Linked DNA regions of Canis lupus familiaris. The protein of the gene in region 1 interacts with the protein of each later gene in a biochemical or structural test. Links are inferred from orthologs where the notes say so. Each region holds a gene or a part of one and is shown in the gene's direction. Other genes may lie near its edges.

What was found. The genes of interacting proteins can lie anywhere in the genome.
Region 2: the proteins of TNFRSF13B (region 1) and TNFSF13 form a complex in vitro, tested with the Homo sapiens proteins (2 studies listed by BioGRID and IntAct). The link is inferred for Canis lupus familiaris from reciprocal best matches to the Homo sapiens genes TNFRSF13B and TNFSF13.

Annotation. Positions count from the first base shown.
Region 1 is NC_049226.1:42,680,003-42,684,104, forward strand, and holds part of TNFRSF13B (tumor necrosis factor receptor superfamily member 13B), read left to right. Parts: intron 1-2,961; coding exon 2,962-3,099; intron 3,100-4,102. UniProt on the Homo sapiens protein: Receptor for TNFSF13/APRIL and TNFSF13B/TALL1/BAFF/BLYS that binds both ligands with similar high affinity. Mediates calcineurin-dependent activation of NF-AT, as well as activation of NF-kappa-B and AP-1.
Region 2 is NC_049226.1:32,689,860-32,694,263, forward strand, and holds TNFSF13 (tumor necrosis factor ligand superfamily member 13), read left to right. Parts: upstream 1-1,565; 5' UTR 1,566-1,590; coding exon 1,591-1,848; intron 1,849-2,194; coding exon 2,195-2,273; intron 2,274-2,414; coding exon 2,415-2,462; intron 2,463-2,606; coding exon 2,607-2,725; intron 2,726-2,939; coding exon 2,940-3,078; intron 3,079-3,302; coding exon 3,303-3,412; 3' UTR 3,413-3,633; downstream 3,634-4,404. UniProt on the Homo sapiens protein: Cytokine that binds to TNFRSF13B/TACI and to TNFRSF17/BCMA. Plays a role in the regulation of tumor cell growth. May be involved in monocyte/macrophage-mediated immunological processes.

The DNA of each region.
Region 1 (4,102 bases):
AATATTTGTAGAACAAGGTCCTTATTGCCCATCTAGGGGACCAGCAATATGAGCAACTCTGCCCCACCCCACCCCCCGCCACTGCATACGTGAGGAATGGTAGCCACCACCATGAAATAGGCTGAAATGCACCAAAATTTCAAAAATTCACCAGTCTCTTCATCCAGCTCTTTCCTGGATAAGTTCAGAGTTCCAAAACAGTTACTTCAAGATGGTTGCTGCCAGCTTGATAGCTGTTAGGTGGAAAAGCAGATTACTAGAGCTTCTACTCTACCATCTTCCTGGACATTGCTCTCACATCCCAGTTTTGATTTGAGATGTCCATTGACGTCCTCACAAAACTCTGTGGATAACCTGCTTATTGTCAAAAAAGATTTTAGAATCTGCTCTTAATTTCTGGTTCCCCTAAATTCTATGATGATGGGTCATGGCTTGAGATTTTATTATATCAGACATCTGACTGGCTCTTTGAATCTGGAAGCTATGTCTTTGAAATCTGTTTTCTCTAGAATTCCCATTAGTTCAACCTTTGAACCTCTTGAAATAATTCCATAATTTTCATGTCTTTTCTCTCCCTATTGTCTCTCTTGGCTCCCAGTATGTTCTTTCTGCTTGTTTTGTTTGAGTTCTCTTTCAGATCAGGTGGCTCTTGATTCACAGCTCAGACTGAGGCAGAAAGAGCTGATTGGAAGTTCTGGGTAAACAAACAGGGCCGTTAATAAAGCAGCTTTGCTGTCAGATGGTCAAGGAGCAAACTTGATCATTTTCTTGAGAGAATCTCCCAGTCAGTGCCTTTAGGCCTCTTCCTTTGGATCAGTTTTCTCAGAATCTGCTGATTTCCTGCTGGCTGCAGGATGGGGAAGGAGACATTCTTAAAAACCTGGCCACAGCACTCCTCAGGTTGTGTTTTGGGGAGAGTGGACCTTATGGCTACCCTCAGCTGTGTCTCAGAAGACCCCCAAACTTTTGCTTGGTTTTTCCAGAGGCCATTACATGCTTGGGATGGGATTTACCTGGGGTCAGGCCCTCTTTGTATAAATTTCCAACCAGTCTTTCTTCCATTGTCTTGCCTTGCCATTCCCCACTGTCATTAAACTTGGTACCTCCAATTCCAGAGACTTCCTGGAGTTCTGTGGCTCAAATCAGCTTCCTTGTCCCTGAGACCTTTAACTAAAGTCAGTCATCCCAGGTCACATGCCTTCCATATTCCAAAGTATTGCTCACACCTGTCCCCTGCTGCAATAACTTTTTTCCATTCTCTTTCTCTTTGAGGACAGGTATCTTTTCTTCTCCTTTTAGTAGGGTTTCAGGAGGGAAGAAAGATAAGTCCATGTGTTTAAGCTGCTACATTAAACCAGGAGCCACTGGTCTTCTCCCAGCTTACTTTCAATGAAGAGTAAGCAAGCACCTTGCAAAATGTTTAAAAGGAGACATTTGGGGGTATGCCTGGGTGGCTTAGTCAATTAAGCATCTGCCTTCAGCTCAGGGTACAATCTCAGGGTCCTGATATCTGGCTCTTTGTCCTCCCTGATCAACGGGGGGCCTGCTTCTCCCTCTCCCCCACTTGTGTTCTCTTGCTCACTTGCTCTCTCAAATAAATAAATAAATCCATTAAAATATTGAAAAACTGGGCAGCCTGGGTGGCTCAGCGGTTTAGCGCCGACTTCAGCCCAAGGTGTGATCTTAGAGACCCAGGATCTAGTCCCACGTTGGGCTCCCTGTATGGAGCCTGCTTCTCCCTCTGCCTGTGTCTGTGTCTCTCAATCTCTCTCTGTGTCTCTCATGAATAAATAAATAAATAAAATATTTTTTAAAAATTGAAAAATTAAAAACTTCCGTCACATGAAGTTAAACTTTAAAAAAAAAAACAAAGGAAACATTTTTGGTGAAGCAAGTATCATGAAATCAGGCAGAAAATTATAGAAAAAGTGATGCATTCATATAAAGGAAGACTTAGCATACAAAACAAATGACTGATGGAGCCTCAACTGAGATGTGTTTCAGATATCTTGTGGCGCCAACAAAACAGGACACAAAGGTTCAAGAATGGGCAATAGTAACAACCGACAGTGATAAAAATCAGAGTACAAGTTACCTCTGGAAGTATTGGATGGGGAGGAGACCCAAGGGAGTCTTCAGGGTGCAAAAAATATCTATACCTTATACCTTGATGTGGGCTGTAGTGACACAGGTATATACATATGGAAAAATACATCAAGCTGCATACTTCAGATTTGTGCACTTTACACACATCATTGAGTGTGTCTCGTACTTCAGTAAAAAAGAAAAAATGGAAGAAAAGGACATTTATTGAATGCTTTCTGTACGCTAGCCACTGGCTAGATATGCTTTTCTTTTTCTTCACTTAATGAGCACCTACTATGTCCTGGGCACTATCTAGGTTCTGAGGACCCAGCAGTGAACAAAAAAATTAGAGTACTTGCCTGCATGATGCTCACAGATAATGGGGGAGACAGCATCCAATAGTCACAGTTATAAAAGTGAAGTGAAAGCGGTGACAAGTGAAGGACACATCACTGCACAGAAGAAGTGGTGTGTCTTAATCTGGGAAAGAGAATCAGGCTTTTCTGAGGAAATGAAATTGAAACAGTGATCTAAAGGATCAGGAGAAAATAGCCAGCAGAAGGGCAGGGAAGAAGAGCATTTTATGCAAAGGTACTGTGGTAGAAAGAACCACAGTAGGCAAAGAACAGGGCTGAGCAGGGCACAGGTAATCTGAGAGAGGGAGCCTCGAACAGCCATTTCACAAATACAGAAACTGAGGCTCGAGGGAATGAGGTGGCTGCCCCAGGCCCCCAGCAGATGCAGCTGGGGTTGGAAGCTAGCTTTGTCCGGTTCCTCCTCTGCTTGCTGAGACAAAGTAGAATGTGAGTGGGAGAGGCTATCTGTGTTCTGACCCGTAGCAGGGTGCCAGCTGCCCTCATGCTCCCTGCCTCTCAGCTCCACAGGGCCTGCGGATGGGGATGGCCATGGAGCCCTGCCCTGAAGAACAGTACTGGGATCCCCTGCTGAACATGTGCCTCTCTTGCAAACCCATCTGCAGCCATCAGATTCCTCGTACCTGTGCAGCATTCTGCAGTGAGTTCTGGGGCCTGAGCCCCATGGGCTGGATCACCCCTTCCTTCCCTCTAGAGGTCCCCCAGGCCCTATTGCGCTTGGGTGGCTGAGAAGGAGATGGTAGAAGGAGATGTAGAACATGGCACCTCTTTACCCCTCAATCTTTCTGCTCTGGCTACACTAGCCTCCTTGCAGTTTCTTGAACATGCTGTGGGGTTTTTTTTCTGCCTCAGGGCCTTTGCACATGTTGTACCCTATGCTTGGAATGCATTTCCCTGTTATTCTTCCCTCAGCTCCCTCTTACTCAACCTTCAGGTCTGAGGCCAAATGTCAGAAGTCTTACCTACCTGTCCAATAGAAATGAGGCCCTCCTTTGTTTTCCTCTGTTCTGACTTTCTTTTGAAATTTTTTATTATAGGAATTATTGCAGAAAGGATAGCATAATAAATCCATTTCTGCCAATCATCAGCTTTAAAAATCTGCTGTTTTATTCCCCAACCATTTTTTTGCTGGTATAGTGTAAAGTAAATCCAAGAATTCATATAATTTTACCTGTAAATACTAGATCATGAAGAGCCTTCAAAATACAACCTTTATCTCTTATCATCCCCGGCAATAATTCCTTAACACCCTCTGTATTCAGGCTATATCCAATTTTCTCTGATTGTCTTGAAAAAGATATTTTGTCTACTGTTCTTTTTTCATAACTTATTCTTTTCCTTGATGGAACTTCCCATGATTTGCGTAACGTTCTTTTGTGTGCATTTGTTTCATGTCTGTCTTGACCCTTTGGACCGCAAGTTCCTTTCCTTATTTGAATCTTGCACAATGCCTGACACATAGTGAGTGATTCATCAATACTGATTGAGTGGAGTTCAGAGAGGCTGAGTGACTTGCCCAAGCTCACACAGTGTAACAGTGGATTTAAACCAGGACTCTCTGACTTCAAAACCGTGACTCCGAACCACTATCCATTAATGAAGTGGAATACTTGTTGTATCACTCCACATATATTCATGGAACT
Region 2 (4,404 bases), about 10 Mb from region 1:
CCCCCTGCCCTGACCTGCCTGCCCTCTGCAGGCTGCTTGGACTTGTTCACCTGTTTCCGTGCCACATACATAATCCTCTTCCCCTCTGACACCCCCATCCTCCACCTCACTGGCCCCTGAACCCCTGGTCTTTTGAAGCCCCCATTTATCTCCTGACTTCCTAACTCTTGGCCAACCCCCGCCACCCCCCCTCCCCCCCAACACCAGCCAAAGGACACTGTGTCTATTCTGGGTGAGAATGGGTCCCTAACCTCCCCCCACTTCAGGCACTAATCAGGGCTAGACGCCAGGGCGACTGGGACACGGAGGCCGGGAGTTCCCATACGCGAGGGCTGAGAACAGGATGAGCTCCTTCCCTGTGGATTTTTAAAACAGATATTATTTTTATTATTATTGTGACAAGATGTCAATAAGTGGATATTAAAGAGAATAAACCACAGTCTCTCTCTTTACTGGGGTGTGGGGAACATCGCTCAGAGGAGCTGGGGGCTCCATGGGAAGGGGGCCTGGGTACCTAGGAGTGGAGTGCAGGATGCCAGGGCAAGGTACAGGCCCAGGAGTGGAGACCCACATGCCTCTGACCCCTGAGGCATGAGCAGAGACTGAAAAGGCAAGCTGCCAGGAAAAAAAAATCAATCTGCCCAAGGTCCAGCAGCAGCTACCTCATTTACCTAGGAGGCCGGCTTCCTCCTGCAGGTAATCCCAGGCTGGGAGGAGCAGGAGCCCTTCCTCTTGGCAGCTTCGGGACATTCAGCAGGTGCTGGCATAAGCCTGGCGGCCTGTGGGGTGGGAGCAGGCCCCAAGGGGAGCCCAGGGTCAGTCGGCAGGACGCTGGGGCCCAGGAATATGAGAACCTGCACCCCAGGGGCCAGGGCAGGAATCCTACAGTGGTAGGGTGCTTGGGGCTTTCTCTTTCTCTCTCTGACCAGAGCCTTATGTAAGAGCTTTTCTCGGGAAACAGGAAGTCCTGCTTGCCAAGTTCAGCACAGGGAGTAGTACAGGCCTTATTCCAACACACCCGGCCTGGCCTTAACCCCAGAACTCAGCCCGTCTCTTGCTTCCGCGACCCTGGTTCTCCTTCCCATCTGCCCCCCTCCTCTCCTTTTCCACCTTCAGTCATTCCTGGCCGACTTGTCCGAGGATCTCTGGGGTGTCTGAGCCAGAGGGTCTCCCGCCCTCACCCGTGACCCCCAAGGCTGCCCAGCTTGTCCCTCCATCCCTGCTCTTGGCACCATGCCCCGTAGCCAGCCAACCTTCCCTCCCCCACTTCTGGGGCCGTCCCAGGATTCCTATGCTCCGGCCGCTCCTCCTGGGTGTCACTGGCAGTCCTGTCCTTCCTAGAGAGACTGACACCGAGTTCTCCTGACGCTGGAGGAGGGGGCGTCTCAACACAACACTGGCCCCACGGCGGGGTGCCAGGAGCACCAACAGTGCCCCTTGCTGGCTCTCCTCCTCCCTTTTTTCATTCTCAAGTTCCTTTTTATTCCTCCCTTGCGTAACGCTCCTCTTCCCTTCTGTACCCCCACCCTTCCCACCACCTCCTCGCCACCCCACTCCTGAGGCCACAGCCTTCGGCAGGGTCCCCAGCTCATGCCAGCCTCATCTCCTTCCTTGCTAGCCCCCAAAGGGCCCCCAGGAGACATGGGGGGCCCAGTCCGAGAGCCGGCACTCTCAGTCGCCCTCTGGTTGAGTTGGGGGGCAGCTCTGGGGGCCGTGGCTTGTGCCATGGCCCTGCTGACCCAACAAACAGAGCTGCAAAATCTAAGGAGAGAGGTGGCTCGGCTGCAGAGGACTGGAGGGCCCTCTGAGAAGGAGGAAGGGTATCCATGGCTGAGCCTCCAGGAGCAGGTGAGTGAGGGGAGCTGAGGATGGGTGGCAGGGCTGGGTCGGGGCCTCTTGGGTCTAGCCTCCCGGTCTGTAAAGTTTTGAGTAGGTGCAAGAGAGGGTCCCAGGTTTGGAGGTCAAGGGAGCAGCCATTCCAGGAAAGGAAATTGTTAAAGATTAATGCTTCTCATGTCTACCAGATCCTGGAGGACAGCCAGCGCCAAGACTCAGGTCGCTGGGGAAAAGTGCAGGAGTGATGTGAGGCGCTCCTGGGGCGGGGGCAGGGGTGGGCGTGGAGGGGCGGCCGGGAGGAAGAACTGTTGGGGGCCCTTGCTTCTTAGCCTAACCCTGACCCTCTTCCCATGAGCAGAGCCCTGATGCCCTGGAAGCCTGGGAGAATGGGGAGAGATCCCGGAGAAAGAGAGCTGCACTCATCCATAAACAGAAGAGTGAGGCCTCCGGGGTGCAGCAGGGGTGGGAGGTGATCAAGCAGCATGGGGACCTCGAGATTGTTGCCCTGAGCCAGGGTGAGGGTGGAGGGCTGATCACAGGGGGACGGGGCTGCTTAGATCTCCTCCTTCTCTCCTCAGAGAAGCACTCGGTTCTGCACCTTGTCCCCATCAATATCACCTCCAAGGGTGAGCACTGTTTTAAATAATGGCTTTGGGGGAGGGGCCAGGTCGGGGAACTTTGGAGCTGGCACCTGAGCTTGAGAGAATCCTGGAGGTGAAAAGTCTCTGAGAACGTGCACAACTCCTGACTGCCACACTCCTCACCTCCAGAGGACTCTGATGTGACAGAGGTGATGTGGCAACCGGCTCTTAAGCGTGGGAGAGGTCTGGAGGCCCAAGGATATGTTGTTCGAGTCTGGGACTCTGGAATTTATCTGCTGTATAGCCAGGTAATCCCACACATACCCTAAGCCTTGCCTGGGGGCCAGGAGGTCTGTTCTCCCAGGACTTGGATGCCCTGGTCCTGAGGGTTCCCAAACCCTCTGTTCACAGCACTTGGAAGACCCTCCTTCATTCCTTGGCTCCCCTGTCCAGGCTCCCGAGCCTCCCAGTACTGAGCCCTACTTTCTCACTTCCTTCAGCTTCTCCTCCATTCCCTGCCAGGTCCTGTTTCATGATGTGACTTTCACCATGGGTCAGGTGGTGTCTCGGGAGGGCCAGGGAAGGCAGGAGACTCTCTTCCGATGTATCCGAAGCATGCCCTCCAACCCCGACTGGGCCTACAATAGCTGCTACAGTGCGGGTGAGAGGCCTGTGGGCACAGAGGGCGGCTCTGACCCCAGGGGGGTTAATGACCAGGCCACCAGGCCAGGGGGAGCGGGGCCTGGAAGCCCGGTGCAGAGGTGGATCTGGGGGATGCTGGCCAGGAAGCAGGAGGAAGGCTGAGCTGGAGAAGGGAGGGGAGGCACCAGAGGGTCCACCGCAGGACTGTGCTTCACCTAGTGTGTATCTTCTCCCGTTTCTCAGGTGTCTTCCACCTGCACCAGGGCGATATTCTGAGTGTCACAATCCCCCGGGGAAGGGCGAAACTTAGCCTCTCTCCGCATGGAACCTTCCTGGGGTTTGTGAAACTGTGATTATGATACGGATGGTGGTTTTGAGCTCGGAAGACGAGGGTGGGTAATACTGGACACAGCCACGAGCTAACAGGAGCAGAGGCCTCTTCTGGGTTTGACCTCAACCCTGGGTTGGACGGCTCATCCATCTCCCTTCCTCCCTTTGCCTCATCGCGCCCTCACCTTCTAGACTTCGCTTTCACGGATATTAAAGAGGTGTAACATCTTGCTTTTGTCCCCCATCCAGCCCCATATTCTTGGGGGAGGTAGGGGTGGCGGCGGGCAATGCCAGGCCGTGTCTAGACCCACTTTGGGTCCCACTGGAAGGCTTCCAGAACAGCACCACCACCTAGCGGCAGCCTGGGAGAGTCCGCCTGCCTGCTGGCAGACGTCCACGCAGCCTCCCTCCACTCGGAAAGACTCGTGGCTCCCCAGGCCACACCTGTCCCCAGGTACCCGCTGCCTCCTCGCCGCACAAGCAGCCTCACCCCCCACTCCCCTCCCCGGCTGTGGGGCGCCCCGGTTTCCACCACGATCTCCGGGGGAGGGGGTGCTTGTTAGGCGCCCGACGACGACGCTCCCCGTGCAGCCACACTCCTCCCTCGGGTGGTGCCAAGTTTTGCCTTTCGTGCTGTCCGCCCGCCGGCGTGGGGGCCCCTGTGGGCTGGGCTGGGCGGCCGGGGAGCGTGGGTCAAGCGTGCGCCCTAGGGTTGGCCTGCCTTCACTCCTCTGGGCTCTTCTTTCCGCTCAAGACCCGCTTAGACTTCAATAAAAGAGAATAAACGGCTTCCAGTGCCCTCGCTGCCCTCCCCCCACCCCGCCTGCGCCCCCAGGGGACCCAGGTCCCGCCGCCCCGGGGTCCGGGCCCGCAAGCGCCTAGGAGCGCTCCCGGCGGGACACGCAGCAGCGGACAGCACGCACGCGCAGGCGGGATAGCGGTGGGACCGCCGCGCGCGGCCCCGAGCAGCTAGCGTGCGCAGGCGCAGCCGGGCGCAGGGCTCGGGGGGCGGGAC